Linked DNA regions of Macaca fascicularis. The protein of the gene in region 3 purifies or fractionates together with the protein of the main gene of each other region. This does not show direct contact. Links are inferred from orthologs where the notes say so. Each region holds a gene or a part of one and is shown on either strand. Other genes may lie near its edges. The genes, in order: CUL1, FBXL3 and CRY1.

Region 1 (3,650 bases), on a different chromosome or scaffold from region 3:
TAGAAATCTGGATAAAAATAATTTTGGTAAATGCACATTTTCTTTACGAGGGCTTGTTAAAGAGGAAGTATTGTTATACTATCGTACTCACATTATTTTTACAGATTACCACAAAAAAGTGTTTTGATGGTTTAAGAAGGAAGAAGATACATTTAAAAATTGAATAGTATTAGCCTCGTTGTCTGAATTGCTGAGTAGGACATGTTGATTTGATTTCTTTTTTGCGGGGGAGGGGGGGCGGCAGAGTCTTGCTCTGTTGCCCAGGCTAGAGTGCAGTGGTAGGATCTTGGCTCACTGCAGCCTCCGTCTCCTGGGTTCAAGCGAGTTCCCTGCCTCAGCCTCCCGAATAGCTGGGACTACAGGCATGCACCATCACGGCCAGCTAACTTTTGTATTTTTAGTAGAGACAGAGTTTCACCATGTTGGCCAGGCTGGTCTTGAACTCCTGACCTCAAGTGATCTGCCCACCTTGGCCTCCCAAAGTGCTAGGATTACAGGTGTGAGCCACTGTACCTGGCCAATTTCTTTTTTAAACAAAATATTAAAAATACAGATGATTTTGAGGTAAATTTCTTAATAAAAAGGAATTACCTGCATATCAAATGTTCAGGGTACTTTTTTTGAGTGTTTGTGGATATTTAATACCATGAAAAATGTTCCTGTTTAATTTGAGATGAAAGAATTGTTTTTACTATATTCTTGTGAGTTTATTAGCATGTTTTTGTATACAGAATAATTTAAAGAAGCCATCTAAAATCACATGTATCAATGTATTTTAATACAGTAGATGTTACTCACTTTTATTTTTAATTTATAATGTGACAAATTAGTCATCTTAAAGCTTTAGTTAACTTGTTTTTAGGATGGAGAAGATTTGATGGATGAGAGTGTACTGAAATTCTACACTCAACAATGGGAAGATTATCGATTTTCAAGCAAAGTACTGAATGGAATTTGTGCCTACCTCAATAGACATTGGGTTCGCCGTGAATGTGACGAAGGACGAAAAGGAATATATGAAATCTATTCAGTAAGAGTTTTGTTTTAAATGTGTTTTTTTAAAATGATAAATTGTCTTTTAGTAAGAGAATCTAGGCAAATATTAAGCTTTTTTCAGAGTAGTAAACTAATTTTCATTGTTTTATCAATAAATGTCCCTTAAATATTTTTTAGCAAGAAAGTAGAGGAATGGGTAAATTGGAGTTCTAAAATACAATTTGTCCATTTCTGCATTTGCTTTTTAAAAATTTCTTCTTTAATTACCTGACCCTACCATCACAATTGGCATGGAACTGCCTGAGTTTTCTCACTGAAAGTCCTGAGTCGTGGCAGTCCCAGGCAAATCAGGTGCCATACCTGAGGGCGAGCCCTGAGGATTAGCCCTCCCATGCTTTATAGTCTGGGAAACCCTGCTTCAGGGAGAGGACCCTGAATTAATTACTAAATCACTCTCATTAATATATGTTGCTTCAGTCAGCAAAAGGGGTTTTTTTGTCCATTGGCTTTCAAAGTATGGTCCCATATTTGTCTGTTTTCATAACTTCTGATAAACTGCGTGAGACTGGGTAATTTATAAAGAAAAGTTTAATGGGCTCAACAGTTCCACGTGGCTGGGAAGGCCTCATAATCATGGCAGAAGGCACATCTTACATGGTGGCAGGCAAGACAGAATGAGAGCCAAGCGAAAGCAGAAACCCTTATAAAACCATCATATCTCGTGAGACTTATTCACTACCATGAGAACAGTGTGGGGGAACCACCCCCATGATTCAGCTCTCTCCCACTGAGTGCCTCCCGCAACATGTGGGAATTATGGGAGCTATAGTTCAAGGTGAGATTTGGCTGGGGGCATAGCCAAACCGTATCACGTCCCCAAACCTGCTCTGTCAGCATCACCTGGGGACTTGTTAGAAATGCACATTCTTAGGCCTCATCCTAGACTTAAGGAGAAACTCTGGAGATGGGGCCCAGCAATGTTTTACCAAGCTCTCCAGACAATTCTGATGCATGCTCCAGTTTGAGGACCAGTGTTCTAGAGCAATTAAGGGAGGACTCAGAAGCTCTCCAGACAATTCTGATGCATGCTCCAGTTTGAGAACCAGTGTTCTAGAGCAATTAAGGGAGGACTCAGAACAGTCTGTTCGTGATCAACACAGGCAATGCCCTTTAAAACTAGTTTTGTTAAAATGTCAGATTCTACATAAAGAAGTTAATCACCATATCCAAGAATGTTGCTATAATAGCAATACTTTGTAGCTTCACTTTTGACAAATTTAAAAGAAAAACATAATGCTGGTTGCAGTGGCTCATGCTTGTAATCCTAGCACGTTGGGAGACCGAGACAGGAGACCAGCCTGGGCAGCATAATGAGACGTACAAAAAAATGTATCCAGGCATGGTGAGGCACCTATAGTCCCAGCCACACATGAGGCTGAGGTAGGAGGATCGCTTGAGCCCAGGAGGTGGAGGGTGCAGTTAGCCATGATCGTACCACTGGACAGAGTGAGATCCTGTCTAAAGAAAAAAAAGAAAAGAAAGAAAAGCATAATGTATCCCGGATGCATGACTTGTTTTTATTGTTTGTGTAACTCCAGTTTCTATACCAAAATTGTTAATTGGTTCATAATGATACTTTGCTATGTAGTTAGTCTGGTTCTAACAAAACTTTCTAGGTTTAGTTGTTTGATTTGGGGTTTTTGTGCTTCCCCTTTAACATTTTGTTTATTTTTTTAACTGACAAAAATGTGTACACCATGCCTTTTTGAAATATGTGTGTATTGTGGAATAGCTAATGGGATTTTTTTTCTTTTTCACATATAAATGCTTTCTTGAGACTCCAAAGTTGTTAGTATAGGAATCAGGATGATCTTGGTTCATTTGCTTTTGGAAACCTGCTTGGCCTAAATGTGTACCCTACAGTCACATCACAGACTCCTAAAAATAATTACGGTTTTTAAACTTTTCCTATACTGTTTTCAACAACAGTTAAAGAAAATATAAATAAAGAAGTTGAGCTGACAAATGTCTGTGCTTGGATACCTCTTGAAGTTGTTGACTCTAGAGAGTGGCTTTCTGATTTCGTCATGATAGCAGATTTTGACCAACTTGTAATCTAGAAATTTTGATGAAGTAATTTGAGATTTAGATTATTTCCTACGACTTCAATCTTGGAAAAACATAGTAAAAGTATAGATATTTTGTACTTTTTTTTCTCCAGCTTGCATTGGTGACTTGGAGAGACTGTCTGTTCAGGCCACTGAATAAACAGGTACCTACTGGTGTAAGCGTGTGCGTGTGCGTGTTCCTTTTAAAATCCCTTCACAGTTTCGTTGCTTAGCCTTTGTCTGCTCACTCCTTTGGATTATCCCATCTTACATTGTTTAATGGCTGTGAATGTTTAAGGGATATGTAGTAATATCTATCATATTCTATAACCTGTGTAATATTTTTCTACATCCTTTCTAAAGGTAACAAATGCTGTTTTAAAGCTGATTGAAAAGGAAAGGAATGGTGAAACCATCAATACAAGATTGATTAGTGGAGTTGTACAGTCTTACGGTAAATAATTTCCCTTTAGTTTATTCAAAGTTTCCACATCAAATGGCAATTATGACAATGCTCTAACAGATTTCACTTTAAAATATTTTCAT
Region 2 (3,650 bases), on a different chromosome or scaffold from region 3:
CCAGAATAAAGAGAACTATGAACTCTCAGTTTTATAGAGAAATCAGAGACATAAAGACTCATACAATGTGGTAAATGTTAGCAAAAACGTTCAGAGTGTTCTGGAAATACACAGGTGGGAAATCTCAACCAGAAAGGAGAAGTTCCCTTCTTCTCCTATGTTGACAGGCGGGTCAACACAGATCACATCTAAGCTGAACTCTGAAGCCTGGGCTGGCTGCAGTTAGCAAGGTGAAGTTAAAACATTTGAGCAAGTATTCCACAGGGTAAAGTGTACTGAGCAACCACAAACAAAGGTACAAACAAAAATCTGTAGTTCCACAGGACCCAAGTAAAAGCTCCACGTGAGTGACCAGCAAGAGACAGATGGAGATCAAGATACAAAGGACCTTGTACACTATGAAGCCAGGAAGCACAGACTTTATTCTGAGAGCAGAGCTATACAGTAAATTAAAAAAACGTAATAAAAGTCATATAAGAACTGCCAAAGCCTATTCCTAACTTCTGGTTTATAATAGCTTCAGTGGTAATCTGTAAGTGGCAGAGACAGCTAAGAAAATACAACCACAGACCTAGCCATTCTCATCACCAGGAGCCTCCTGTGGGAGAAAAGAGAATGAGCAAGGAGACTTGGGAGAATGAGCAAGCAATCTCCATCTAAAATGGAATCATTTCTTGGGAGAAGGCTGACCTTTACCGATGGCAAGAAGGTTGGAAGTGTTTTGTAAAGATCAAAGATTTGACACTATCCCTTAAAGAACAGGTTTCCGAAATAACACAGCTAAAGGATCAGCAAACATGTCAATAGTGGGAGGAGTCAGGAATGAAGCAGCAGATAGCAGTATATATAATATAGTAGTAGGATTTACACTCTCTTTTCAATACAAACCACCTGGAATTTAAATAATCTCAAACTGAATAATTCAGTAATGCTCAGAAAATCCTATATAAGAGAAACTGGAAAGAGCTTTTATAATGCTCTTCTCCCATTTGATGGGTTCTTGGCTCCAAAATTCAACTTAGAGAAAAACACCATCTTGCAAAATGTAAGGCCACCACTTAGTACAACTCTTCTCCCTCTACATAGTGAGAAGAAAAGCAATTATGTGACTGCTCTGACTCAAAACTTACCCTATTAGCTCAACTACAATGAGAAAAAATTCTACTGTACTTAATGGGACACCTCAGGCTGACCTCATACTGTCCTTTCCTCTTTTTCTCCTGTCCATTTTCTAGCATGTGCTATTCATAAATTTACCAAATAAGATTGGAAAATAAGCTGAAAGCCAGTGTCTAGGCTAGTAACTTATGCTATTCTATTACTTATGCTATTCTATTACTATATTAAAAATATTTTAAAGAGATGAAGCAGTCGTATCAATCCACCTTTAAGGTTAATGATCATAGTTTTTTCTAATTTGATGAACATACCAATGCATTTTACGAAAATGTGTCTAGCAAAAAACACAACATACCTGCTGGAGAGACATGAGGACAGCTGCTCATTTTCAACAGCTTGAGTGTATCACTGTTGTTGGCCACTAGTACTTTGAGAGATGGATCATCTACTGGAGTATCATCTATCTTAAGCGAAGACAGGGATTTGGAGTTTACAAACACAACTGTCAGTGCAGAGATAAAGTGAGACTGAAAAGCAAAAAAAAAAAAAAATTATTTCAATTTTTAGGAATGAGAATTGAGGGGTTTCCTAGTACTACAGTTTATCTGAGTCACAATGACATTAATATTTTGTAAATGTTTTAGGGGTGGCACCCCTTCACTCTGTTATTGGGAGTATGGCAAAAGAGGTGACTATCTGTTATCTTTGAGAAGAGCCTATTTATGTGTAGGGGAAAAAAACATTTCAAGCCTCAGAATAAGTGTCTCTAAATTGGAGAAACCACTGGTAAGTAAAAAGAGGAATTCTGGAACCAGGGATGAGAATCTCTCTCAGATACTTCACTTTGCCGTATCTGGAAACCCTAGTGTTTTATAACACTAAACTGCATTTCTTTTCTGTTTGATAGGTATGCCCACTAAACAGTAACTATTAACACCATCATTAAAAATTAATAATCTATTTAAAATCTGAGACTCATTTGAGATATGAAAACTCATAGAAATTTTGATTCTAAAACAATCAAAATCATACTTAAAATTCCAAGTTTAAAATTCCTTCAAAATGTTATCTACAATATTTTCAAGTCTTCTATTTTAATGTATTTTGATCCACAAAAGCACCAATGAAATCATTCATCATGTATCATATATATGTATATATGTACGTACATATGTGTGTATAAACACATACACACGTATGTATCTGTTGGACAGAATATGACCTAAAGGAATCAATGTAGGCAAACAGGAATTAAAGCATTCTCAAAGTATGCAGCTCTCAGTTGGAGCTAAGATATGAGTTGAAACCATTAGGCAAAGAATCTAGGAGAGTAAAGGCAGGCTAATACATGGTCCAACATATTCCTCTCTACAAAACCAACTTCATGCTCCAGTTAGCTTTACAAATTCTCTACAGGAGTGAAAAAGGATGAGGGCAGGCTAAGAGCCAAGAAAGTATAATGAAACATTACTTTTTTTTTTTTTTTTTTGAGACAGAGTATTGTTCTTGTCACGCAGGCTGGAATGCAGTGGCACCTCCTTAGCTCATTACAACCTTGAAATCCTGAACTTAAGCAATCCTGTTTCATCCTCCCTGGTAGCTAGGACTACAGGTGTGAGCCACCACGCACAGCTAACTTTTTTTTTTTGTAGAGACGGGTCTTGCTATGCTGCCCAGGCTGATCTCAAACTCTTGGCCACAACGGAACCTCCTGCCTCGGCTTCCCAAAGTGCTCAGATTATAGCTGTGAGCCACCACACCCAACCAAAACACTGTCTTCTTGGTCATAATTCCCTAATTTACTTTTTCCCTACTGTGATTAAACAACTGGTTAACTACTTAGATTTTGATTAAGTAACTATTTACTTAAATGTTAACATCTTTCTCCTAATATTTTCATATCAAACTCAATTATATCTTGTACAAACATATTTCATTTGCAATCTAATGACTGCATCACTGACGTCTTTTTCCATTTCCCCAATTTAGCTCTAGTCAAAAACATTTCTTCTATGTTGTCTTCAGTTCTCTCAAGATTTCCAAAATATTGCAATGCCCTATTTCAATCTTCTACCAAAGCCATAAACGGAAAAAAAAAAAAAAAGAAAAAGAAAAACAGTATTAAGTATCCTAGACTCACTTAATAAGAAGCATTCTTTCCATTAGCTCCATTCATGGTTCCCAAATTAGTACTAGATATAAGCATAATGGTAAGAAAAAAAAAAGAAAACTTATGTTCAACATATCTTTTAATATGGTATTTTTAAATATACTATATGAGTCAGTAGGTACATTTGTATTTTAGCTATGGTAGGTACACTAAAAATCAATTCAGATTGTTTCATTTCCCATTTGAAGCTTGAAGGTGGCGCTATACCATGTAACCCGTATTTCTTAGAGTGAGTTTCCTTAACCATCTTAATCAGAATCACCTGGACTGCTCACAGGAAGAGGAGACTTAGAATCACCCCGAATTTGAAAAAGGGATACAAATCCAAAATTTAGGAGGCTATTCAGAAGATTTTTACACA
Region 3 (4,109 bases):
TGGATGAATACATGGCTTTATATATTATCTATAATCTCATGAATTCTCCAATTTATACTCCCTGCCTGGATCTCTGTCTGCAGCTCCAGACACATCCAACTGCCTATTTGCTATCTCCATTTGAATGTGTAAAATACATCTCAAACTTAATGACTTAATGGAAGAGAACTCCAATCACCCTCCCAATGGCTTCTCCAGCTGGCTTCACTTTCTTAGCAAATTGAAGCCCCATCCTTCCAGTTTCTCAAGCCAAAAATTTTCTCAAACAGTAAGCTGCCACTACATAAAAAGCACTGAATTTTGGTGCTTTTTATATAGCACCAAACTATAACTCCTTTTTCTTTCTTTTTTTTTTTTTTCTTGAGACAGAGTACTCTGTCACTCAGGCTGGAGTGCAGTGGCACGATTTCAGCTCACTGCAACCTCCGTCTCCTAGGTTCATGTGATTCTCATGCCTCAGCCTCCTGAGCGGCTGAGATTACAGGCATGCACCACTGTGCTCAGCTAATTTTTATATTTTCAGTATTAACAGAGACAGGGTTTTGCCATGATGGCCAGGCTGGTCTTGAACTCCTGGCCTCAGCCTCCCAAAGTGCTGGGATTACAGGGATGAGCCACCGCACCCAGCCTAACTCCTTTTCTTTCTCTCACACTACATATCCAATCTGCCAACAAATACTGTGTATTCTGCGTTCATAATATAGCCAGCATCTGTTTTTTTTCCTCACCCCATCCACAATTATCACTATGATTCAAACCTTCGCATCTCTCACCTGGATGAATGCCAACAGCTTCTTAATTGGACTTCCTGCTTCTTGTCCACCTCCACTCCCCAATTCAGAACCACAAGCAGAGAAATTCTCAGATTTGTTCTCAGAACAAGCAGAAAAATTCTTTTTCAAACTTATGTCAGATCACATTACTTCTCTGCTCATAATCCTGCAGTTATTCCCACTTCACTGAGTAAAAACCCAAATCTTGAAAACTGCTTATAAGGCTCTCTTCAATCTGGCCCTAAGTCAACTCTGACCTCATCGTCTACTATTTTTCCCTCACTTATTCTGCTCCAGTCATACTGGATTCTTCTGCTGTTCTTTCCAAAGGTCAAGCATATCTCTGCCTTTTCCCTTACTCCTCCCTTTGCCTGGAATGGTCTTCCCCTAGATATCTGCATCCCACCACCTCCTTCAGGTATGCTCAACTGTCACCTTCTCTGTGACTTTTCCCCTGATTATCATATTTAAAACTGCTCATCCCTACCCTTGTATTCTTTATCCCTTTACTCTGCTCTATTTTTCTCCACAACACTTACCACCTAAAATACTACATATTTTACTTTCTGCTTGAAGACATGACTTTTTGTCTTTCACTCACTGCTATATCCCTAGCATTTAAATCAGTGCCTGGCACATGGTAAGTGATCAAGAGTCTCTCTGTTGAGCTAATGCTTTCATTTCCACCAGGGGGCCCAACGATCACGTAGCCCGGTGTTTCAGGAAGATCATAAAGCATCTCTAAGATTTCTTTGTGCTCTGATCCCTAGAAGGACTACAACTTGCCTAGAAAGAAAAACTGTGCTTTGTCTCGGCAACCACAAGGAGGAGTTGAGAAAAAGAGCCGAGCAGAGAAACCAGATAATGCTGTTTCCCTTGCTTTTCCCTCAGTAACCTCAAGGTGGAAGAAAACTGGATCTGGAGCCAGCTGTACTGAATGAATGATTTTTCTCCATACTATGAGTTACCTAGACACAAACGTAAACAGGAAACATCACAATCCTTTCGAATGCCACAAACAGGCCAAGGGAATCCATATACACAGGCCACTAAGGACAGGAAGGGTGTTTCTTTAACTCCAGCACTAAGAATTCTCCACAAATTCAGGGGAAGAGCTCCCGTTAGCACAGAAAGACACATAACTAACTCACTGATGAAGGCCGAGTGTTTCAGGTCGTCAGTACTCTCTGGCCAGAGAACTATTAAGTCAATTCTATTTAATACTTAGGGCACCTACAATTCGTTAGCGGTATAAGGAAGGCAGTCCCACGTCTAAATTCTCAGATTTGGCGGATCGCATGGAATTCATTAACATCAGATTCATTAAACACCCAAATCCATTTCCCACGGGCTTGTGACTCACCGCCACCTGTTGATGCCCACGTTGGAGGAGCCGGCGAACCAGGGGTCCAGGATGTAGACGCAGCGGATGGTGTCGGCGCCCTGAATGCATTCCTTCAGGGCGGGGTTGTCGTGGAGCCGGAGCCCCTTTCGGAACCAGTGCACTGCGTTCACCCCCATGCTGGGGGCGCGCGGCGGGTCCTCCACGGAGAAATTCAAGGAAGGAGGCTCCGGCTCATAGCCGACACCTTCGCTTCCAAGAGAATTGCCTCACCCGAGGAGTAAGGAAAGGGCGGTAGAGGGGGGACAGGAAAAAATGACTCCAAGGAGGGGACTGGAGAAGGCGGGGGCGCTGGAAGCGCAGTGAGAAGATGAATGGAGGTTGCCCAGTCGGCGGAGTCCGGGTTTGACGCCCTTTAGGAGCCCGCGCCCGCCGCAACCTCCTGGAGGCGACGCATAACTTCGAGGGCCTCGGACCTCCGGAGCCTGAGCAAATTCCACGAGCTCGAGCCGCCACGACGGCCCGAGCTGGCACGGACGGCCCCAGGAGGTTCGTCACGGAAACCTCGCCCCACCAAGGCGGCTCCTAAAGACAAAACGGCCCGCCCGAGGTGAGTCACCGAGGAGAACCGAAGGGGAATGAGCCCCTGTCGGCGACGCTGTCTCTAGGCCCAGGAGAAAGGACCGGGGACGGAGGCAAGAGGCGGTGGTCGAGGCCGCTGGACGGTTGCCGGCCGGTGACCGGTCCCGAGGCTGCCCGGGTGACTCTGCCGCCGCCGCCGCGTCAGCGGCCTCGGCCCCGCCCCCGGCTCCTCATTGGAGGGCGCGCTCCCCACGTGACCACCGGCACCTCACGTTTCTGAAGTGTGTTTACTACACTGACTCGGAGGGGGAATCTGCTCGCGCTTCGGTCGCTTCTGGAGGGGCGGCAGCCGCTTGATCCCAGAACCGTTGACCCTCGCCCACACGCTGAGCTCACTGCCTTTGCCCCTTTCCTGTGCCGACTGGCGGGCCGTCCCTTGGAGGCAAACCGTGTTGACCACAGGCCCCTTGTGAGGGAAGGCTTAGCCCCGCCCCCAGGGGCCGTGAGCGGGCACTATTGGCCGAGGCTCGGTGAGACCCGGATGAGCACGGGGATGCGGGGAGCTCGCGGGCGCGCGCGCTGGTCAGAGAGGCGCGCGTGCGCTCTCCCTGCGCTCCAGAGGGTAAGGGGGCGGGGCCCGCGGGCCGAAGCGCGCTAGGTGATTCCTCCCGTGGGATTTGGGGAAGGCCTGGAAATTGTCCGGTGTCTTTCAGGAGCCAAAGGTGGAGTCGGGCGGAGAGTGAGGGGAGGATGGAGTGGAAGGAGGAGAGTGGGAGGCTTCACGTAGATTTCAAGTCCAAACCATGTGCTTGCCAGAGAACCCTACTTTGGAGATTATGGAGCTGTGCCCCTCCACTCTCCTGGCCCTTGGGTGCCTCCTCCCCCTTGTACATGCTCTGGGGCAAAGGGTAATTGGCAGGACGGATGCCAGGCATTCCTGGACTTCCTGGAATTTTTTAATACTAGCGATATATATCATCAACGTTTCACCCCTAATCTACATTTAATGTAGTTTACCGGTCTCTTTGAGACTGGACGTTTGTCTACTTTTCCAGCGACAGTGAACTGCAGGCCATGCCATCCCTTAGATATATGATGCCCTTAAATTCATTCAATGATTACTTTTTGAGTGAACTAAGCACTGTTCAAAGCACTAGAGATACAGGAGATACTTAATAAAATAGACACAGACTCCAGTCCTCTTGGGGTTTACAATTTGTCTCTTAACCTTTGCTGTTTTTTCCTCTATAAAATATTCTTCCTTGGAATCCAGTACTCAAGATAACCGCCTTTGAGCTACCTGGGATATTTCTGCACACCTCTTTAGACTCCGATGAAATTATAACTAACTTCTGAAAGTATTCCTGATCCCTAGGGCAAATTTAGGACCTCCCTGGGTTCTCCACGTATGT

The links.
Region 1: the proteins of CRY1 (region 3) and CUL1 purify together in Homo sapiens (affinity purification with mass spectrometry; 4 studies listed by BioGRID and IntAct, counting the BioPlex papers as one, with this or other methods). This does not show direct contact. The link is inferred for Macaca fascicularis from reciprocal best matches to the Homo sapiens genes CRY1 and CUL1.
Region 2: the proteins of CRY1 (region 3) and FBXL3 purify together in Homo sapiens (affinity purification with mass spectrometry; 4 studies listed by BioGRID and IntAct, counting the BioPlex papers as one, with this or other methods). This does not show direct contact. The link is inferred for Macaca fascicularis from reciprocal best matches to the Homo sapiens genes CRY1 and FBXL3.

The regions. Positions count from the first base shown.
Region 1 is NC_088377.1:190,410,831-190,414,480, forward strand, and holds part of CUL1 (cullin-1), read left to right. Parts: intron 1-862; coding exon 863-1,030; intron 1,031-3,217; coding exon 3,218-3,268; intron 3,269-3,467; coding exon 3,468-3,558; intron 3,559-3,650. UniProt on the Homo sapiens protein: Core component of multiple cullin-RING-based SCF (SKP1-CUL1-F-box protein) E3 ubiquitin-protein ligase complexes, which mediate the ubiquitination of proteins involved in cell cycle progression, signal transduction and transcription.
Region 2 is NC_088391.1:68,027,072-68,030,721, forward strand, and holds part of FBXL3 (F-box/LRR-repeat protein 3), read right to left. Parts: intron 1,647-3,650; coding exon 1,475-1,646; intron 1-1,474. UniProt on the Homo sapiens protein: Substrate-recognition component of the SCF(FBXL3) E3 ubiquitin ligase complex involved in circadian rhythm function. Plays a key role in the maintenance of both the speed and the robustness of the circadian clock oscillation.
Region 3 is NC_088385.1:113,988,949-113,993,057, forward strand, and holds the start of CRY1 (cryptochrome-1), read right to left. Parts: upstream 2,884-4,109; 5' UTR 2,295-2,883; coding exon 2,137-2,294; intron 966-2,136; exon of another isoform or gene 774-965; intron 1-773.